Rhinolophus ferrumequinum: one gene and its partners. The protein of the gene in region 2 purifies or fractionates together with the protein of the main gene of each other region. This does not show direct contact. Links are inferred from orthologs where the notes say so. Each region holds a gene or a part of one and is shown on either strand. Other genes may lie near its edges. The genes, in order: DYRK1A, LRCH3 and SUGT1.

The links.
Region 1: the proteins of LRCH3 (region 2) and DYRK1A purify together in Homo sapiens (affinity purification with mass spectrometry; 3 studies listed by BioGRID and IntAct, counting the BioPlex papers as one, with this or other methods). This does not show direct contact. The link is inferred for Rhinolophus ferrumequinum from reciprocal best matches to the Homo sapiens genes LRCH3 and DYRK1A.
Region 3: the proteins of LRCH3 (region 2) and SUGT1 purify together in Homo sapiens (co-immunoprecipitation; 3 studies listed by BioGRID and IntAct, counting the BioPlex papers as one, with this or other methods). This does not show direct contact. The link is inferred for Rhinolophus ferrumequinum from reciprocal best matches to the Homo sapiens genes LRCH3 and SUGT1.

What each region holds. Positions count from the first base shown.
Region 1 is NC_046285.1:102,489,526-102,497,330, reverse strand, and holds the start of DYRK1A (dual specificity tyrosine-phosphorylation-regulated kinase 1A), read right to left. Parts: upstream 3,076-7,805; 5' UTR 2,512-3,075; intron 2,154-2,511; exon of another isoform or gene 1,106-2,153; intron 1-1,105. UniProt on the Homo sapiens protein: Dual-specificity kinase which possesses both serine/threonine and tyrosine kinase activities. Exhibits a substrate preference for proline at position P+1 and arginine at position P-3.
Region 2 is NC_046285.1:50,211,015-50,218,024, reverse strand, and holds the start of LRCH3 (DISP complex protein LRCH3), read left to right. Parts: upstream 1-3,926; 5' UTR 3,927-3,962; coding exon 3,963-4,224; intron 4,225-7,010. UniProt on the Homo sapiens protein: As part of the DISP complex, may regulate the association of septins with actin and thereby regulate the actin cytoskeleton.
Region 3 is NC_046287.1:9,065,269-9,073,023, reverse strand, and holds the start of SUGT1 (protein SGT1 homolog), read right to left. Parts: upstream 3,036-7,755; 5' UTR 2,902-3,035; coding exon 2,864-2,901; intron 2,773-2,863; coding exon 2,715-2,772; intron 1-2,714. UniProt on the Homo sapiens protein: May play a role in ubiquitination and subsequent proteasomal degradation of target proteins.

The DNA of each region.
Region 1 (7,805 bases), about 52 Mb from region 2:
CCTGGCTCCTGGAGTCCCAGCTGTATGACCTTGGATGAGTCACAGCAATTTCCCCATCTGTGAAATGGGTAACAGTTCCTACCAGTAGGATAAGCTTGTTTATGTAAATAAAGCTCTGAGAATAATGAATGGCGCTCTTCGTCCAAATTTTTAAATCAGTGTGAAAACAACGTTTTAAGGTGTATTTTTTTTTTTTGACAATTTGGGCGGAATTCAAGAACCAAACGGTGCTCACATTCAAGTGAGGAACCTAGATTACAATATTCTTATAATCGAGGGTTGGATGAAAGGCATAGCCAAATAGTTGGAGTCCATCACTCACTGATTTTGCCATTTTTAACTATTTCGGGGAGGGGCCTTTCGCTAAGTGTTAAGATATTCAGCAGTTTCGGTGGATCTAAGTGAGAGTAGCTTTGTATCTGGGAATAGACTTGTGAAGTTTTGCTGCAATACCCAGATATCAATTATAATTTACGAATTCTCAACCACCAATTCCTCCGGCTGCTAAACAGGTCATCACTCCCCCTCGAGTGGCCGGGATCACTTGCACTCACGGCACAACTTCAGAGCCCGCCGAGTGCCCTCGCTCCAACACACACCCCAAAGGGCCGCGGAGGCACCCGGCTCCCGACCTTCCCCGGCGCCTCGCCCAGCAGCCAGCCCCATTTTCTTAACCCGTACATTGTCCTTGCGGAGAACCCCGGCGGTTCCCACACTGGAGGGGACCAAGAGGAGGGACGAGGGAGGAGCTGGGGGAAGAGGATGAGGAGGAAGAGGAGGAGGAGGAGGAAGACAACCTCCTCCCCTTTGCTCGGGCGACCAGTGAAGGTCTGGCGGTTTCTCCAGCCCCCAGGCCCCGGCTCCCGGGAGGCCGCGGCCCCTGCTCCCACCCTCCGCAACTTTCCCTCCGCTCGCACCCGCCTCTCCTCCGGGACCGGGCCAGTCGGGCTCCCTCCCCCGGCGGCCAGCCCCGGGCCGCGGCGCCTCCTCCTAAAATGGCAGGTCCCTCCCTCCGCCCGGCCGGCCTCGGCGCGGGCCCGGCTGCAGGCCGCGGGGGGAGCCGGGCGCCGGGCCGGGCGGGGCCGCGGCCCGGCCGGACACTCACCAGGACGATGGCGGGGCGCTCGCGCCGCTCCCTCCGGTGAGTCTCAGCCTCCGGCTCCCGCCGCTGCGCTCCCGCCGCGGCCTCCGCAGCCAGCGCCGCCCGGGTCGCCGCTCTCCGCCCCCGGCGCTCCCGGCTCCGCGGCCGAGCCGCAACCTTCTCAGTCTCTCTCCGGCTCGCGGTTCCAGCGGCGCCCGGGGCCGGGGAGGCGACAGCCCCCTCCCCGGCAAATACCGCAGTCCCCGGACCCCGACTCCCGGCGGCGGGGCCGCGCGGCCCGGCCCGGCGCGGAGGGCGGCGGCGGCGAGGCCGGGCGCCGAGTCGCGACCGCTCCCGGCGGCTTCTTCTCGAGGAGGATTTTGTAAATCTCACAAAATGGCGCGCGCTCCAAACCTGCGCAGCGAGAAGCGCCGGGGCCCGAGCGGCGGCGGCGGCGGCGGCTCCTCCGCCAGGAGAGCCCGAACCGCCCGCCCCCGAGTCCCTGCACAGACAGACAGACACTCACACACACACACGCACGCACACTCGCCCTCGCACACGCTCACTCACACACACACTCTCACACTCACACCGGTCCCGCCCGCTCGCCGGCGGCGGCAGCGGCACCAACAGCAGCAGCAGGAACAGCAGCAGCAGAAGCGGCGGCGGCGGCGGCGGCGCCCGCACCCCCCGTTTGGGGTGTCCGCTCCCTGAGCCCGACCTGAGCCGCGATCAGCAGCAGCGACGGCAGCAGTCTCCCCGGATCCCCCCGCCGCTCTTGCCGCCGCCACCCCCGCCTCACTCCAATGGGGCTTTTTATTATTATTCGGGCGGGAAGCGAAAGGGTTTAAAAAAAAACCAACCAACAAAATGGCGACGGACCGACCCGGTCGCTATAGCAACTGTCAATCAAAACGCAAAACCCCGGCTGACGTGCTAACGTCCTCCTCCCGCCCCCCGGCTCAAGCCGTTGGGCGGGGCCTGTTGCTCCGGCAACGGCAGATTCCGTTCCCTCCTTTAGTTCTCCCCCTCCGTACCCAACCAACCACCCAACCCCCTCAGGTCACGTGAAGGATAAATTCGGAGCTCGGGCCCGCTACGAGTGTCAGAGGAGGGCGCGTGATTCGCTCGGGGGAGGGAGAGGAGGAGGATGGCAGGGCGGAGGGAGGGGAGAGGAAGGGGGGCGAGGCGGCGGCCCGGCCCGTAAGCGAGCGCCTGCCGCCTCCCCTGCCGCCTGGCCGCGCCCCGCGCCCGCGCCGACTGCGGGCAGAGGAGCGCGCGCGGCCTCTGCGCCGCCACCCCCGGAGCCCTGCGCTTCCGCGTCGTGCGCCCGCAGCCCCGCCCGCGCCGGGGGGAGGGGGGTCGGGCTTTGCGGCCGCGTGGGGACCCCCGGAAGCCCACCCCCGCGCGCCCTGGCCCAGGGCTCTCACCTTCGTTTCACGGTAGCGCGCCAGCCGAGGGAAGGCAGCCAGGGTGCGCACGTCCGCGCGTTTAAACTGTTCTTGGAAGGGCTCGCGTGCCCCCCTCGCCGGAAAATGCCCACGGAGGCCGCGGCTGGGGGTGGGGAAGAGGCCGCCTCCGCGTTTCAGACATCTCAGGAATTCCGGACGCTTCGCCCGAATCCGGGATGCCCCTGCGGCTGACACCTTGATTAAATCATGCCACACGGTTTGTGTAGCCACCAACGCCAACGTTCAGAAATTGTGGACGGAACCATCATAAAAACTTTTTAGGCTGTGCACGCTCTCCCTGGCTTTCCCACCTATTTCAGACCTCTACCCACCTTGCTGGGCGCTGCCTTCTCGATCGGAATAACCCCCTAAATTAACACGACCTATTACTGTATCCTTGTTGCCCAACACCGTTTTCTTTTTCATGTACCATCTCAGTTTCCAGATTCTGAATTCGCCCACAATTCTTTATTAATATTCTGGCTTTCATGTATTTTTATTATATCTACCCTTTCTGCTTAAATGTTGGTATGTGTCCCTACCCCCCGCCCCCCAGGCATTAAAACCTAGCTGTGCTAGTAGCCATGCTGTGCTGGGTACTTTGTAATCAATAGACAGCCACTGGCTAAAAATTGTATTTTGTACCAAGCCTAATAAAATGGCACTTAAGTGTTACGTTAAAAAGGATAACAGATACTATTTTACACCAAGACACTTAATTTATTGATTGATTTCTAAGTTTGGTTTTTGCCATCATATAATAGTGTTCGTATCAATTTTTTCTTAAGCTTAAACTGTTCACAAATACAGTAGCAACAGATACAATCTTAGTAAAGAATAACAATCCTGTAATAAATACTGGTTCTATCCTATGTAACTCAAGGAAAGACACTTGCTTTAAATGGTTTCCAACAAATGTTTCCCTCCTTCAGTGATAAGAACATTGATACACTTAAGGCAACCATTCAAATTAGCACAGGCCCTGAAAGAAATCAGACCAAACCTGAAATAAATGAGACAAAAAGTAGTCGGGCAAAAAGCTTACTTCAGGCTGATTCTCCTCCGTGGTATAAAAAGTTGCCATGACTCACAAATTCTTTTGGATTGCCGACTTTTTCAAAATTGCCCTGCTAATGCAATTAAAGTCCACGTTCAGCCCGATTGTTTTGAAGAAACTGGCCAAGAGGGTCCATGTTGAGGTGAGAAATCGCTACCTTAATTCCTCCCAGACTCACGTCCACCTATATAACCAACCCCTCCCCCACTCGGGGTTTTCTTCTCCCTGCTCCCCACCCCCACCACATTCACCAGTTTCACTTCTATCATAAGCACTGGAGCATTAGCAACCTTTAACACTGAAGTTAAATTTGAGTCAAATTTTTATTGGTGGTAATGAAGGAAACTTGCATAATTAATTTTTTAGATAACCTGGAAACAATATGACAGTGTCTCAAGAAATGGGCCCTTGTCTTCAGTCAAATCAATCTAGAAGATTATAAGGGTGAGGCAAAATCTTGAGCTTACAATCATGCAGTAATTGAAGGGATTTCTGGTCTTCATATCTAGAAGGCTGCACCCTTCCCTCTCAACCACACAGGGCCAGCCCCACCCCCACCCATGTGACAGTCTTACACAACATTGATCAATGAACTGTCACTGTCATGTCCAGGTTGAAATGCTGTAAAGTGGTTTTAATAGGCTTCACCTAAAAAGTAACCTATAAATTATGCTGGCCCAAAACAAGTAAACAAATAGGCAGGAAGGACTCTGGTTCAGATGCCAGTTTAGTGTTGACTAGGTTTAGCGATTGAATCCTTGCTGTCATCTGAGAATCTCATCACATCCACTGACTGATGTATCTATTCATAGAAGTTAAACTATAAAAGCAAAGACCCCACCCAACTCACAGATAATAACAGCCTCCACTAATCCAGTACATTCTAGGGTATGTCTAATCCTCATAGAAACATTTCATCCCCATTATACAAATGAGAAAACAAACCCGGAGTAAATAACTTTCCCAGGTTACACCACCAGTAAGTGGTGAAGCCAAGATTCAAACCCAGGTGTAATTGCAAAGCCCATTTCTACCACACCAAGACGATCCAAGATTATTTGGATATCAGGTCTTTATAGAGGTAATCAAGATGACATCATTAGAGCGAGCCCTAATCCAATATGACTGGTGTCCTTATAAAACGGGGAAATATGGACAGAAACAGACATACACACGGGGAAGACAACGTGAAGACACAGAGAGAATGCCATCCACAAGCCAAGGAATACCTAAGGCTGGCAGAAGCTGGGAAACAGGATTGAATAAATTCTCCCTCACAGCCTCCCCCAACACCTTGATTTTGGACTTCTAGCCTTCAGAACTGTGATACAATAAATTGTTGTTTAAGCCACCTGATTTGTGGTACTTTGTTATGGCAGCCCGAGCAAACTAACATGCAGATTCTAACCAAGATGCTGGTTTTTTTGTTTGGTTCCACACCTGTTAATGACCATACTAGGTGATACACTATACGAAGCTCAAAAGTTCAGAAGTCAGAACCCCACGAGTTATAACCCAAACATTCCAAGGACAAAGAAACGAATGTTCCTACGACTGCCCCTCACACCAGGTTAGAAGGGGAACAGTTTTACAATTCGTCCCTGGACAGTGGCGCAGCCAGAATCTGACAGCGCTGCACTTCTTACAGACTTCTGAGTAAAGCTCCTTCATTGCTCCCCTTGTATAAGCTTTATTGTTAGTTCTGATTGTAAAAGTTAGTCAAGTGTATGAAACAGATTAAAAGGAAACAAAATAAACCAAGAGAGGGGCCTTATTTAAACTGATAATGATAGCATGCTATGAACCAAGAAGTTAATACTCAGTTCTCTACACTTGAGGTCCAAACACAAAAAATGAAAGTAACATGTGGACATGAGAAACAGTTTTACAATAGGGAAAACAAAGAGATAAAGATTATTCATAGATTTTTAAAAAAAGATTATTCATAGATGTCACCCAGAGATAAACCTCACTCATATCTTCATATTGGCATATATCCTCCCAGACATTCTTAGGGAAACACGCATGTGCACACACTCGCAACACATGTAGGTATGTTTTATGCCTTTTTTACTTGCAATTATGAACGTGTTTGGTGTTAATCAACTGAAACTTAATTATTTTAACAGCTACAAGTATTCCATCAGTTGAATGGGCCATAATTCATTTAATTGCTCCTCTATTTTTAAAGAGTTTTCCTCTTTTTGGTTATCATAAATAAAGCTGTATAAACATTGCATATATACATTTTCCACACCTGTCTGGTTATTTCCTTAGGATAAGAGCATGAATCCTTAAAGAGCTTTGATCGTGTCGCTAAAGTATTCTTCAGAAATGATTTCACCAATTTGCACTCCCAAAAGTAGCGTGAGGATGACTTTTTTCCACTCTTGTTTTAATTTGCATTTGTTGGACCATTTCATGTCTTCTTTTTTATATACATACTTGTTGGCTATTTGTCCTTGCCTGTGTATATATCCCAAGCTCATTTAGGGGAAAAGGAAGAGGTGTCATCTTTTTGTTGATTTCTTTCTAATTTTACTGCAAAAAAGAAGGAAATTGGATGGCTATATGCTGTTGTTAGGCTAGTGTATGATATCAACACCAGACACCCATCACCCCAATTTATCCGTTACCATCTCCATTCCTTGCCATCTGACAAGTGGGTCTAGCCCAGACGGCTTCCCTGCTCTCAGCTTCACTGCCCTCACCCAACCCACTCTTCTTACCTGGACCACGTGCTCTGCCATGACGGAGAGCACGTGGCAGAGCATGGCAGAGCACGTGGCCCAGGTAAGCATCATCAGGTTGCTTACAATGTTGTTTCATGGCAAGATGTGGTTCTAATGGTGTCATTTTTAAAAGTGAGGATGATATGTATTGCTTTCCTGTCATGTAAGAATGTTTACCAATATTATTTCATGAATTATCTTTAATATTTTCTTTTTTGTGACATCAAAATAAAGGTTAAATAGAAAATGTAAATGTTAGATTAAAGCATATTAATTAATTGCATGGTTTTGGAATATCCCGAAAAAGTATTTTACAACATTTGGTCAGGATTTAAAAAGAAATACACTTTAATATATTGATTCATATATATGGCAGCTTCCTCGAAATTAATAGTTTGAGGGAAAATGCCCTAATGAAACTGAAAAATAATTAAGTACATGGAATTTAAATTAGGTAGAGGAGACACAGAAATCTACAAAGATCGCTTACTTGAATGGTTCATTAGCTCAACAGTTCTTGAGAGATTTGGCTTATTTTCTTGGCTTTTTAATGTAGGTATGTAGTGGACATCATTTAATATTCCTACAGTGTTTATCAATATGTGCATTTACTGCTACTGTCTTCAACATATTTCCTATTTTACCTCAATTCAATTCAAAAGATATTTATGTGGTCAGAGCAGTGGTAGTACTTTATTCTATCATATTTGTTTGACTGTTTCTCAACTACAAGTGCTTTTAGGGCAAGGATCTTATATTTTCATCTTTGTATCACTAGCACCATATCTGCCATACTGTAAATACTACTTTGTTTTGTATTTTTAAATGCATGATGAGCTCCTGCAATTTTCTTCCAGTTTTCCTCCATCCTATATGAGGTTTTTGGCAATCAGAAAACTTGAAGGGAAACTGTCCAGTGATTTGTAGACAAGTAGGAAATGTTCTCTTCTGATCTTAAAATGGATGGAATTTCTCTAGCACCAGAGGACAGATTGTTGCAGTCAGCAAAGCTGGAAGACGAAAATCCCACTGAAGATACAATGTCAGTGATTACCATGAAGCTGGTTAGTTCTGTTACAGCAGTGCTTCTCAAACCAGTGTTCTTGCACAGTCCGCAGCTCAGCCCAGGTATAGTCAGTTTGAGAAACTATAGATTTGGGCATTCTCATTTGACAGAGATTTAGACAGGACCTCTGTGTGTCCAAGTCTGTTAACTTCTATGTCCCAAATGCAAAAATAATAGCCTTCTACCGACATGCCCTGTTAACAGCTTAAGGGCAGGGTCAAAGAGCCAAAAGTCCTTTTATGAAGGCTAGCAAACGTATCTTGCCTGTCCATTCCCACGTCTGAATTTACTTCCAGAATTTTAAAAGCAAAAATTGGCTGCGGGGAGGGGAATGGTGAAGGTGGTCAAAAGGTACAAACTTCCAGTTAGAAGACAAAGATACACTAAGGCTGTAATGGTAACAGCAAGGTAATGGCCG
Region 2 (7,010 bases):
GGAAAAGTTACATTTAGATCTATTCTAAAGCTGTTCATTTTTAACAAATAAAATCTTACAGTACTCACGTGATTTATTCTTAGCTGTAAAGATTGAGTTGTGGTTTTTAGATTGTTCTATTGTAAAACCTTTGTAGTGATTATAACTTTTAGGGTTTTAAAAGCTACCTACTAGCTAAATTGGTAAATCAATCTAGACTCATATTCAATCCCTCTAAACTGCCTTTTGACCATTTCATTCATAGCTCCAACAGGAAGTTGCCAGGAGGAGTTAAAATAGAGAGTCACATTTACTTAGAATGCAGAATATTGGCCTGGATGAGCCTTTAGAGATCATCTAGTTCATCCCCTCTTTTTACATCTTAGTTAAGTGAGACCTGGTTTTTCAAGACTTGTGTGGGGCAGTCACTTTTTGAGCTTAGATCTTTTAATTCTCAATTCATAATAAACTGTGAATTAAACACCCACAGAAAGTAGTGGAATGGTGTGTGGCTTGTCAGATACCTAAAAAGCGGTAAAACCAATACTTTAGCTTTTGTAGCATGGTAGGTAAATCTACCAGTAATGATTATGAGACTTCATTACTTCGGTATTCAAATTATGTAGACCTATTAGAAAAGGCCAGTGTTCCTAATCAGACTGCGTTTTTTTTTAACAGGCATAAACTTCACCACAATTTTAATTATAAACAAATCATAAAATACTTCTAAATATGAAGAAACATAGACTTCATTGACCAATGGTTATTTTTTTTGTTACAATAGATATGTATATCATTTTACTGTCAGTAGCTTTATAATTCACACATCCAGTATCAGGGTAATTTTTGTTCTTTTTAGGGGGAGGTAATTTTTCTGATTTATAAGGGGATAACAGAAAAATAGCTGACTTTGCACTAAAGAGAATTAATGCCATACGTTCTGAATGTAGGCAGTATTAGGGCAGAAAATGATTTTATTTTTGATCAGTATGTCTTTGAACTTTAATCAGAATTATGATTGTTTTTGCCACTGTAAAAAAAACAAAAGGCATGTAATTTTTAAACTTCCCTTTAAAGAGAGTTCTTTTTGCATGGGTCAGTTTGGAATCTGACCCTTTTTAAAAAGGATTAGCTGGAGAGAGCTATTGAGATTTGAATGAAACCTTTGCTCCTAACTTTCAGCCTGTAAAATGAACAGGAAGAAGCAGGGAAATTCTCTATATCTGTTCCTAACATTCAGTAACCCCCACTGCCTATATTTTTAACTCCTACTTCCAGACCACAGAGCAGTAGTGGAATAAGTTATAGATGCCTGTAACTCTTTTGCTCACAGCCTTTTTGCAATTGTTTCTCATCATGTCTTTTATGCATCACTAGACTCTGGTGAACTTCCCATAATGACTCCATTTCCTGTATCTCATTCTTGCAAAAGGATCTTGTCACTTGATTTGTGGAGATTGAGGGAGTAGAATGAGAATTCCCTCATATTCTACCTTTGCTTTATAGATGAAACCTCAAATCCCTAGAAGTCTCAAAACTCCTTGATCTATCCTTTTTTCCAGCCTTCTTTACCTAGGACTTGTTCTCGTATAATGGTATATATAGCACCTTCATTTTCCTTGTATCCACAAGCCTTTCTTTTGGCTTTCAGATAGCTACATACTTAAGTATCCTGTTCTAAAAAACTAATTTTTTCTCTCTCAACTTTCCTGTATTAGTACATAACCTCTACTGTGTTAGTACATAACCCATCTTCTGTCTCTGCTTCTTTCCACTATTTTTTAACTCCTATTAATATACTCAGCCCTGGGTTAGAGAAGATAAAGGTAGCTTAACATACTAAGGTCTTTAAAATCTAGTTGAATAGATAAAGTACTGTGTTTCCCCAAAAATATGAACTAGCCGGACCATCAGGTCTGATGCATCTTTTGGAGCAAAAATTAATAAAAGTCCCGGTCTTATTTTACTATAGTATAAGGCCGGGGCTTTAATATAATACAATATATAATATAATACTGGGTTTTATATTAAATTTTGCTCCAAAAGATGCGTTAGACCTGATGTTCTGGTTGGGTCTTATTTTCAGGGAAACACGGTAACATCAACTATAAACTTGGCGAGAAGTTCAGAGACCAAGGTTAACATGAAATGTTGCAATTATGAGATGTGCAGGTAGATAGGAATTAAACCATATTATGGAGAACTTGTCAGAAGAAGAATTTAATGTAAATGTGTAAGGTAATAGGTAATCAAATATAGATAATATAATGGCGCATTTTAGAAAGGTATCTGGCAACTTTCTGGCATTGTTAATATGGCATGTAGGATTATGCTTTTAATCATTGTAGTTGAAATACTGTATCTAAAATTATAAAATGAGATCCTACTCTAAAATAGCTTAAAATCTTTCTAAGAATAACAAAATTTCAGGTAGACCAGAATAACAAAAATCAATTCATGTAGTAGATAAATATTATTTGTCAGGGACAACAAACACATCACTTACTATTGCAGTGACCCATAGCTCATAAAGGGCATTGACAATTGATCATGAAACTTGTTGCTGAAGAACCTAGCATAGTATTGAGTTCAGAGAACAGCTATGAGTAGCCATTACTAATTAGCTTTGGCACTGAGATTAAACGTTTTTACAATCTCTTCCAATTTGGAGTTGAGGGAAGTGCTAACAAGGTTTTATTAAAGAGTTGGGCCTTGAATGGTGAGTAGGATCTCGCCAGCCTTAATTTCTTTACCTGTTTGACATGAACTTTTTGGTCTTGGGCCCTCATGTTCTCCACATGTACTGTTATAAATCATACCTAGGTGTGATCATGCTGATCCTCCGCAATCTGAAATATTGCTCTCACCTTCCAGCCTATCCCACTTCACAATCCAAATTTGATTCAAAACCTCATTCATCCACAATGTAAATTCTTTTCATTAAATTCTGATAATCCACCCCACCCCTACTCAGGCCTTTCTTGTCTTGATCTCTAATTGGTCTATTTGTCTGGATTCTATGATTAGATTATAATCTAGGGAAAGGACTATCTGACAGCCTCTTCTATTGCCCTGAGTAAAAAACTAGATGATTGATTGTAGGGGAAATTTACATCAATTGGCAGGAACAGCTTAAATGTGCAAAAGAAAAGATAAAATGCTCAAGACTGCAATATAACTGAAGTCTTAATTGGTTTAAAATGAAGTGGTATTTTCCACTTTTTCAGTAACTGGTTTCATTTTTTTACCATTTCTTTAGTTCTACCTTTATTTCTGACATTTAGATTATGGCCAGACCATTTTCTCTTCCTCAGTTTTTGTTTCAGACCAAAAATTCAGACTTGAATGCTGTTCATCTTGCTTAAAATCTTGCCTCAAGGACAACTACTTAAGATGTTTTATTTTTATTAAGAACTATTCCAGAAAAGGCAGGGAGGGAGGGCCTAAAATATTTCTACAACCCTTTCAATGAGAATTACGGAGTTTGGGATCCAGTTTAGCCCTTGTTTTCCCTCAGGCAATAATAGTAAGTCCACATGTCTCCATTTGGATCATTTGGTTTACAGAATGACGAAGTTGGGAAATGTTTTAGGTCGTATCCCAGGGTCCCCTTCTCTCACTGCCCAAGTTTCTGGCAGCAAGTGTTAGGAAGCCTTAACTTAATGCTTAATCCTCCTTAATCCTCCAGTACTGAGGGAAGACGACAGAGATGTTTTGGTGAGAAGCGTCTGAAAGATTTTTGTAGAGACATTTTAGAAATGCTACTGGAAATCTAGAATAACGGCTGCTCCAGATTTGTGAGTTCCGTTTTATTTTCGCTTGAAAACTTCGTGGGCGGAGGCAAGCGCTTGGATGTACGCAGCAGGACCGCAGCCCTGCCCATGAAGGGAACGGTTCGGGGTCTGTGTGCCCTTTCCCCGCCCACCCATCAGTTCTGGCCGCGCATGCGCTGCACCGGCGGGTCGGAGATTGTCGGCTGGGAAATGGCGGCCGCAGGCTTGGTCGCTGTGGCCACGGCTGCAGAATACTCTGGCCCAGCAGCGTCGGGAGCTAACCTCTCCGGTGTTAACTGCGGCCCAAGCTCCGGGGCAGGTCCTGGTCCTGGCCCGGTCTCGTGGAGCCGCTCCATCGATCGAGCGCTGGAGGAGGCGGCGGTGACTGGGGTGCTGAGTCTGAGCGGCCGGAAACTGAGGGAGTTTCCCCGGGGAGCGGCCAACCACGACCTGACGGACACCACCCGCGCGGGTGAGCTGGGTGGGGGTATCCCTGTCGTCTGGCGGCCCTTGGCGCGGCGGAAGGCCATTCCAGCCCGTGGGGGGACCCGGGGGGTGGTTACAGCAGTTGGTCCTACATCTCTTTATCGGGACCCGGGTAACGGGCAGAGGGCAACTTGCCCCAACCCACTCACCCCCCGGGCCTGCGGGCCAGATCCCGAGCCTGGGGTGAGGCGGACAGCGGCATCTCTAGAGGAAGAGGGCTGTAGGGGATTGATGGGTGGTGGTGTACTCTCCCAGTACAGTAACTTATGCCTCTGCTGGGGTAGACCCTTGCCCCGCCCCGGTTTCTGCAGGCCTTTTCGGATTTGAGATTCCAAGTTGACTTTGCCAAGATTTGGGATGGTAGCACACTGTTATTATATCAGAATAGCGTTTGTCGCTGCATTGTCAGGAATGCTTCGATCTCAGCGCTGGCGTTTTTTCAAAAGTTGTTTTTAATGTGAATCCGAACGTTGTAACTTTTCTTTTGCCACCGTTATCTAGTTGACTTACCAAATGTACTTGTAAACATAAGTAGAGCCTACCTTCAGATTCCATTACGTTCCTCTCTCATCATCGCCCCCCCAAAAAAAAAGTTGAAGGAAGAAAACTACTTATAAACGATACGTAGATTGCCTGCTATAGCTGTATTTAATGCTTTAAAAAAAGTTATTTTTGCTTTATACATATTTTTGAACAGGATATAATAAGGAATTAGGTTTTCTTAGTTGTAGAGAACAATGGTTACTGAGATGTTCAACACATGTTTCTCTTGTGTTTAAAATACAGCTTCCTCAGGGAGTAGATTAAAAACTGTGTCTATTCATGTTTTGCACAAAGGAGGAAAAAAATCTGTAACACAAGTTTCTATAGTATGATGTGGTGAAGTGTTTTATTTCCATATAGTATTTTTGCAACCAAAGAATACGTAGTACTTTGTGTCTTATATTTATTCCATTTTATTTATCTTATTTTAAAATCTTCAATTTAACACCTTCTTATGTTTGTGCACTCATTAAAGATTGGTATTACATATGTATGATTCACTCATGTTAGAAAAATAAACAACTGTTAAACTGCTTCAAGAAACTATTCTTTCCAAAGAAACTTTTGCTCTAGTGTAAAGTGGAAAAAATTCAGTGCCTACTTATTTAATTTTTGGAAACAGTTGTACTGAATGCCGTTTGTATTTTTTAGTGAATGATAATTAAGTTAAACTTTCTTGCTAAGGTAAATATGAACAGCCACTTGTCTTTGGCATGTGTTCTGATAGACAACATCTAAACTTGTCATTCATGCCCCATATCTTCTGATTCTGTTCAGGAGATGGCTGTATGGCATATGAGTATTCAGGAAATAGCGTAGCAATTTCATATTGGTGTGAGTCATTTCAGTATTACTATATTAAGCCTGAAGCTAAAGAACAAATTGATTAACAGGAGTTTATCTAGCTCATTATCTTAACCTGTTTTAAAATAGTTGTAGGACCAACATGTTTTGCCTTTAAGGAATATTTTATTAACTAACAAAGAAAACCCAAGGGCATTTATGAAGTCTAATAAGTAATCCCAATGAATTGTTCCCTTACTGTACTCTGAATTTTTAATTTGTTATTATCCACATTTATTACTTTAATAGTTTCTATATAAACCAATTTTTTGTTGGTTGACATTTTATCTGATCGAAAACTAAAAAAAGGACTACAAGGTATTTTATAACCTATTAGACTAAAATCATCTTAATATGTTAGAACTATAATTTATTAAGTATAAGAAATCTTTGGCAGACCTTGGTAAATACAAAAACACTGAACTATTCTCTGAATTATTGTAAACAGATAATTTGATGTGGATAAGATCATTTATTGAGTTGTCACTGCTTGCTGTTCAGTGTGTTAGGTGTTTTAAAATACATTGCCTTGTTAAATGCTTAAAACCAATCGAGTAAATATTATTATCCCCATTTTACATATGAGGAATCACTTAAAATTTGCAGATGAGAGGTCACTCAGAGAAAGTCATATAACTAGAATTAATGGTAGAATTTCAGCCCAGGTCCATCTAATTGTTTTCTCTGTACTATGCCACACAGCCTCCCTATGTATAGATAGGTATTTCCATTCCTGTTTTTGACAGATAGTAAACCCAAGGTTTGGAGAGAGAAGATAATTTGCTCAAAGACCTGTAGCTAAAGGCCAGGTAAGGTGGTATTAGCCAGTATTTGAACCTAGCTTGAGGTAACTTCAAAACCATAGTCCACCTGTTATACCAGGTACTTTGATTATTTTTTTCAGTTACAGTTGACATTCAATATTATATTAGTTTCAGGTGTACAGCATAGTGGTTAGACATTTATATAATTTATGAAGTGATCCCCCAATTAATCTAGTATCCACCTGGCACTATATACATAGCGGTTGCAACATTATTGACTATATTCTCTATGCTGTACTTTACATCCCCGTAACTGTTTTGTAATTACCAATTTGTACTTAATCCCTTCTCCTTTTTCACCCAGCCCCCAAACCCGCCTCCCATCTGGCAACCATCAGTTTGTTGTCTGTATCTATGAGTCTGTTTCTGTTTTGTTTGTTTATTTTGTTCTTTAGAGTCCACATACAAGTGAGATCATATGGTATTTGTCTTTCTCAGTCTGAGTTATTTCACTTAGCATAAACCCTCTTGGTCCATCCATGTTATCGTATACCAGGTACTTTGATGAATTCAGACTCAGTTTATGTTACCTAAAATATTCTGTTTAGACCCTATAGGAAAT
Region 3 (7,755 bases), on a different chromosome or scaffold from region 2:
TTTAAAATTTTAAGCTCAACAAGGTAACTGGTTGTTAAGGTTAAAAGCAAAAGCAGACTGCTCAGATTGACCGAACATCTGAAGACCTTCAGCTCTGGGCAACTCAATTCGATTCCATTTTCTGTTTTCTTCCAGCCACAGCTAATCCCCAATTATGGATAGTAAACAATATCAACCCTTCTCCCTTCCTAAACTACCTAATACCGCTGGAGAAAAAACATAACCATGCAGCACTGCTGCCAACGTGCATGTCTGCCAACCGGCTATCCTCTCCACAAAGCTATCTGTGGTCAGCCACCTCAAGGTCAGCTCCCACACTGTTCACTGTATCACACATCCTACCCCCTCCCCCAGAGGATGGCCAATGCACTGAAACCGCAGACATCACTTCTAAACTGTCCACCCTTGAGCAAGTTAATCTCTTTAGCCTTGGCTTCCTTGTTAGAAAATGCAAATACCCACCTCGAAGTTGTTGCAAGAATTATGGTAAGAGTCATTTCACACATCTGAGTGCCTACCAGATCCCAGGCACTACACTAAGAACACAGTGATAAACAAGGTACACAGAATTCCTCCTCTCTCGATGCTTACATTAGGGCCGAAATTGAACAGCGTGGTCAGAGAAGACAGCTTCTCCAAGGTGACACTTGAGCTGAAATCTAAAATTATGAGCATCCCCAAGAAAAACATGAGAAAGATGGAGAGAGAGTACATTTTAGGCAAAAGAAAGTGCAAGTCCAAAGACCTTCCAACAGGACTGAGCATGACACATTCAAGTAACCCGAAGAAAGCCAGCGTGGCTAGGACAGAGAGAGGAAAAGAAACTACAAGCTGCTTATCTCATGGGCCTCCTTACATTACTGGGCACTTTATATTACTTACCTTCATAATAACCTTTTCAAATAGGATCTATCTTAGAGACAGGAATTCTGATCCGGAATGATAACAGAAATGTACCTGAGATTACACAGTTGTGAAACCAAGACTTGGACACAAGCAGTCTGATTCCTTGCCTATTAAAATCAATTATGCTGTATTTATACAATGGAATACTACACAGCAATGAAAAAGAATCGCACAATTATATGAATGCATCTCACACGTTTAAAGCAAGACAGAGAGCCTACACTCAACGGATTTTGTTTACATGAAATACAAGAACAAGCAAACTAACCGATGGTGTTGGACATGAGAATAAGGGTTGCCTGGTGGGAAAGGGGAATTATTGGCAAAGAAGAAGCATGAGAACGCCTTGAAGATGAAAGTGGCCTTTATCTTGATCTGGGTGTCATACACACATACAAACTAAACTTCATTAGTTGCAGACTTCAGATTTGTGTTATTTACATATAGCATACTTCAATAAAAAAATTAAAAAGTAAAATAAGTGAGATGGAAAGTGACATCAATCACCTTTAAAAGCAACTTTTATATAAACTTGATTTCCAAAGGAGGCACTGGGTCTAAGACCATCACTAAGTCTGTAAATAGCTATCTAGCTAACCTAAGGAATTGTGGAGAAAAATTCTCAGTGTCTCCTGTAACATTACTCTAATGCAAGAAGCCTCACTAGGAGCGGGACTACTTTATTTGAAGGCCTTCAGATGCAAATCCAAAAAACATACCCGGACCTAAAAGGCACTAAGGGACCCAGCTCATTATTTCCTCCCCACCTGAGCCCATACTCCCTTTTCACCCCACTCTAGTCAAATGGGAGTTTTTGCTGCTGCTTGTACAGGCCAGTTTCATTCTGACCTCAGGACCTTGGCACTGGCTCCTCTTTCTACCTGGAACGCTCTTTCTCCAGAGCTTCCCAGCTCATTCCCTCAGGTCTCTACTCAAATGTCACCTCAGAGAGACTCTACTACCATGTGGCAAATTATTTCTAGAAGTCATAGCTAAAAAGAAGTTCTCTTGCCTCCAAATGCTAACCTTAGGTATGTTAGAGGGTTTGGTTTCTTTTCCTCATGCTTCAAAGCAAGAAACCCCTGGTTAAATTTTTGTGATCCCCTGTATCACGTATCCTATTACTTTCTACAATTATTTAACTCTTGCCCTTTTACTTTCTTTTATGGCTTTATAGTCTTTCACTTCACACAAAAGGCCTTGTTAAGTCAGTTAAATATCTCAATAAGCCTTTAATCAATAGCAATTGGTGCCTTGCACACAGCATCTCCAAAAAATATTGTTCTAATGAATAAACAAATGAAGACCGAACAGTGGCAGGACATGTGGAAATTTTCAGGGACACAGAGGGAAAGGGGTTTCATTCCAGAAGTTTGAGTTCATACACTCAGGATATTGTCTGGTACATAAGAATGGCAAGGATGATTGTCAAACGAAAAGCCGAATTCAACAAATACCATCAAGCCTAGATGTCACTTTTTGTCCTAGTCACATGTCATTAAAAAAAAAAAATCCTTCCAGACCAACTATGCATGGATCTCAACTACAGAAACAGACAAGGTTTTTCTAAGGAGCTGCTAGGATGCAGAAACGGTCCGGGAGTCGGAGGGGACAAGAACAGCGTGGAGTAAGGGGGCCACTGTGGAACAGGGAAAGGAGAGCGGGAGGCTGTCAACACCAGGGCTCAGACACAGCAAACACAGCCCCCCCCCCCCACCCCCGGTCCCAGGAAGGCATTTGCTGGCAAGAGGAGGGGTCGGCCTCGTTCCCCGAAGGACAGTCCAGGAGGCTGAGACGGGTTCTCTCACCTCTAACGCCGCCTGGGGGTCCTCGTCGATCAGAGCATCTGAGAAGCTCCGGAAAAACCTGCCAGGAACACAACAACTTCAGCCGGGCTCACTAACCAAGGAACCGGAGAAAGGGGGATAACCATAAATAGCAAAGAGAAGACACACACAGCTGGGCTGTTGCAGGTCCCGCTGCAGCCGCCGCCATCCCTAACAGTCACTGCTGCCGCTGCCGCCGCCGCCGCCGCCGGAGCTGCCGCTACCGAGGTGACCAGGTCCGCGGCCGCCCAAGGGGGAAACTTCTGGAGACACACCAGCCGAGCTTCCGTCCTAAATAGCCAACGAGCACCCACGCAGCGTGCCGCGGGGGGAGGGGCGGCGCGAGGCGGCCGCGAGGCCGGCTGGGATCGTGGAGGACCGAGCCTGCCGGCTGACCCGGCCTCCGTGACCGCGCTCCCAGACCCCGCCTCTCGCAGCCATGGTGACAGAGGCCTCGACTGTTCAGGTTTGCGGTCGCTTCCATTGCGGTCGCTTCCACCGCGCACCCCGCAGCCCGACGGAGCCTTCACGGGTGGCAGCTGACAGGCACTTGGGAACGAGTGGCGTTTGGGGGCCTTTGTATGTCTGTTAATAACACAAGCCACTTGGCGCTCGATTTTCACAAGTCACCAGGTATCAAGGTTACAAGAGGCAGCCAAAGTCTTTCCTGCCCCGTGACGTCATTGGCCGCTCGTGCTCGTCCGACACAAAGTTCCCGGATGGCGCCTGGCTTCCCGGGATCTGTGCGCTGGGAACCCTAACGGAGTGGGACTGAGCGGAAGTTGTTCTGCCCTCGCAGCAGCGGGACAGAAGGAGGTCTTTCGTTCCGGGGCGGGTGTACGACTCCATTACCCAGAACTCCACAGGCCCAGGTTTTCTCCCCAAGTGGCTTCCCAGATTAAGAAAAACCTGTTCCATCGGAAGGGAAGAAGGTGGCCTGAAGGTGTCTCAGAGCTGCTTTAGTTTCCACCCTAGTCGGTCAGCGCCTCCCTCACCGGCCTTTGATGCTTGCGGATCAGATAGAAGCTTCCAGCAAGTTCCACGGGGGGTGGGGTGGGGGGGAGCAAGAGGGCGTGGGAGTAAGTGGCTTAGTATGTTACCGGTGCAGGGTCCTTGCCCCCTCTCAGGATAGAAATCAAGAGGGGGCGAAACAGTTTTGCAGAGAGAAATGTGTATTAAAGCAAAAGCTTGATACACCAAGGGAGCACACGCTGAAGGAGAATGCGTGTGGCTCCCCGAGATTGACAGGTACAGCGGTTTTATAGGCTCTTGAGGTTGGGGGCAACCCCTTCCTCTTCTTCCCCTCCCCAAAGTATGTCGGGGCACGTCTACACTGCGCCTGCACAGTGCTCCTACGTGCTCCTACCTGCCGTGCATGGCGTGTCTCATCAGCAATCTTAAATCTCCCCCTACAGGTGTTTTTAAGCATGATAATGAGGAAAAGTGAACTATAGGACAACTGTTTTAATTATTGTGCATGCGCGACTTTAGAAACTTCCTGGGCCGGCTTCTCTCTCTTGTAATTATGAATCTTCTGCTCACTGTTTCTTATTAGTGGGGGAATGTGGCTCGAGGATGTTGTCCCCAGCTGCAGGCTCCAGGCTTACTGACCACTGACTACAAGTAGAGGTAAACAAGTAAATAAACTTGAGTGCCTACCACATCCAAAAATCTAAACTCAGCCCTAGGATTCAAAGATGTCGTGCTTTCCAGAAACTTAAACCAATGCTGTTAAGCGCTAACGTGAAATCGGGAAGTCAATCACGTGAGAGCAGGAAGGCGCACTTGGAATAGAAGGTATATGGATTCCTCAGAGTTGTGATACCTGAGTCGCAGCCTTCAGACGGGGAGTTAGACTCAGTCGATCATGCAAGTGGAAACGGTAATTCAGACAGAATAGGACGTGTGTTGGAAAACGATAATGTGAACTCTAAAAATGGGTAGAGCCAGAATTCAAGTTAGAAGCAGACTTGCTGGAGAGGTAGGTAAATGTCAGGTCAGGAAGGGATAGCTAGGTGTGTGGTCTGCTCAGAAGCTTGGATGGGATTCTCCTTTTTAAAAAAAAAAAAAAACTTATTTTAAGTGTGGCTTTGTGGGGACAGAGCCCCAGAGAGCAGTTTCCAGGCTCTCGGCCTCACGTGGAAAGGTGCTGGCTTGGGTAGTAGATGGCCATCAGCTGTAACCAGTGAGCCATTGGCCACTAATGTAACTGCCGCGGCTACATTGGGGAGTCGAGGAGAGTCGTCGGTCGGTTGGCAGAAAAGCGGACAGCAGGTCGCACATCGTGTGAATCCAGCCTCCAGTGAGACTATACTGGTATGACTTCCCTACCTATGGCTCCGTGGGTGTTCCTTTTTGGCCTAGCCATATCCTGCGTTCTTATGTGGGGAGCGGGACCAGAGACCCCGCAGGCCGCCCCGCGTGACAGCCTTTCCAGGACCCATCAGCTCCAAGTAAAGTAGTTGTTTCAATCTAGTTGTGGAGGGCACAGCTCACAGTGGTCCATGTAGGGATTGAAGTGGCAACCTTGTTAAGAGCACCACATTCTAACCAACTGAGCTAACCGGCTGCCCGGATGGGATTCTCTTAATAATGCTAACCCATTATAAGGATTTTTAATCAAAAAAGGCATTAACAGTCAAGTTTGCATTTTTAAGTACATTATTCTATCTTTGCTGTGGAAGAATGATTAAAGGGGAAAGGAGAATAGCTGTTGGGAGACAATTGGTTTACAGGCCAAAGTGACTCTTAAATCAGTGATTGTAGGGATGGAGAAGAAGGTAAGAATTACAGAAATATTTATTTGAGGTAAACTGTCTGGGTTTGCTGATCTTTTATGATCAATGCTTTTTATATCATACATAATAAGGCTTTGCTTATGCCAAAGCCATGAAGATATTCTCCTGTGTTTTCTTCTAGCTGCTTTATTGTTTTACCCCACTTATCCAGATCTATGATTTATCTCAAATTAATTTTTGTGAAAGGAATGAAGTTGGAATCAAGGTTCATTACCTACCCCCCCATATGCATACCCAGTTGACCCAGCCCTACTTATTGACAAGAACGCCATTTGTCATTTCCCCACTAAATTCTTAGGGCAACTGTGTAAAGTAATGACTACATATATATGTGGGTCTGTTTCCAGGTTCTTATTCCATTGGTCTGTTTGTCTAACTTTGTACCAGTACCACAGTGTCTTAATTCATGAACCTTTATAAAAAGTCCTGAAGTCCTATAACTTTTTCTACCCGGTTACATGGTTACCTTGGCTATTCTAAGTCCTTTGGTATTTCCATTATCCTATAAATTTTGCAAATTTCTATTTATTTATAAATTTTAGAATGAGCATGTCAATGTCCAAAAACCAAACAAAACCTTGCTGGGATTTTAATTGGGGTTGCATTGGAGCTATAGATCTAGTTGGGGAAAACTGACATCTTAATGATGATTCCTCCAATCCATGAATATCGTACACCCCTCCATTTGTTTAAGTGGTCTTTCATTTCTCTCAGCAGTGCTTTGTAGGTTGCAGTGTAAAGTTCTTACATAGATTTCACTGGATTTAAATCTTGGGTATTTGGTTTTAATGCTATTTTAAATGGCTTTTAAAATTTTTTGTATCTACTTATTTGTTGCTAGTATATAAAAACTACTGATTTTTACATATTGACCTTATATTCAGCCATCTTGCTAAGTTCCCTTATTATTTCTAATACTCTGTAGATTCTCTTAGAAGTTCTGTGATCACAATTTTGTCATCTGTGAATAAAGATTGTTTAATGTCTTTCTGTGCAATCATTAGATCTTTTATTTTTCTTGCCATCTGTCACTGGCTAGGAGATCTGCTCTAGTGTTGAATACAAGTAGTGATAATGGACTTCCTTTCTTGGTTGTAGCATCAGGGGAAAGCATTCAATATCTAATGCCTGCACTGAAAAATTCATATGTATTTTTCTTTCACATGTTAATGTGAATTACATTGGTTCATTTTCAGATGTTCTCTAGACGGTCAATATGCGTATGAAAAATTCTTTATCAATAACTATATTACTGACATTAAAATCACAATACTAAACACTCCCACCAGAATGTTTAAAATTAAAACGAATTCCAGTATCAAGCATTGGTAAGGATATGGAACACCTAAAACTTTCATATATTGCTAGCGGAAGTATAAATTACTATAACTACTTTAGAAAACTTTTTGACACTATTAATACTAGTCATACATATACCTTATTGCCCATTAATTCTTACAATGGGCACATACCCAAGAGAAAAGAGTACTTAAGTTCCTGTACAAGAAGATTGAATTGCAGCATTATTCACATACCAAAACCTGGAAATAACGTAAATGTCTTTTCACAGGAGAAAAACATTAAAGAGCAATGATTAAGAATGAACTACCAATACACACAACAGTATGGATGAACATCACAAATAATGTTTAAAGAAGCCAGACAGAGTACATCCTGATTGATTCCATTTATATGAAGATTTAAAAAAACACAAAAGTGCTCACTTCAGCAGCACTTATACTAAAAAAACACAAAAAACTATATGGTGAGGAACATCAGAGGGTGATCTGGCTCGGATGAGCCATGAGGGAACCTTCTTGGATGCAGGAAATGTTACATACCCTGGGTGGTAATTACACCAATGTGTTCAGATGTAAAATTTTATCAAGTTGTATACTTAAGATTTGTGCACTTGATGATTCAATAAAATAGGGGGGAAACGATTTAAAACAAAATAAATGAACAACCAATTTGAAACTTAAAAAACCATGACATTTACAATGGCATCAAAAATACTAGACTGAAAAATCTGACACAGTATGTGCAAAACATATACATTGAGAATTACAAAACATTGCTGAAATTAAAGAACACGTAAACAAATGGAGAGGTACTCTACGTTCATGAGTCAGAAGACTCAATATTAAGATGTTGGTTCTTCCCTACTTGGCCCATAGATTCAACATGATCCCAAGCAAAATGCATAGGATTTTTCCATTTTAGAA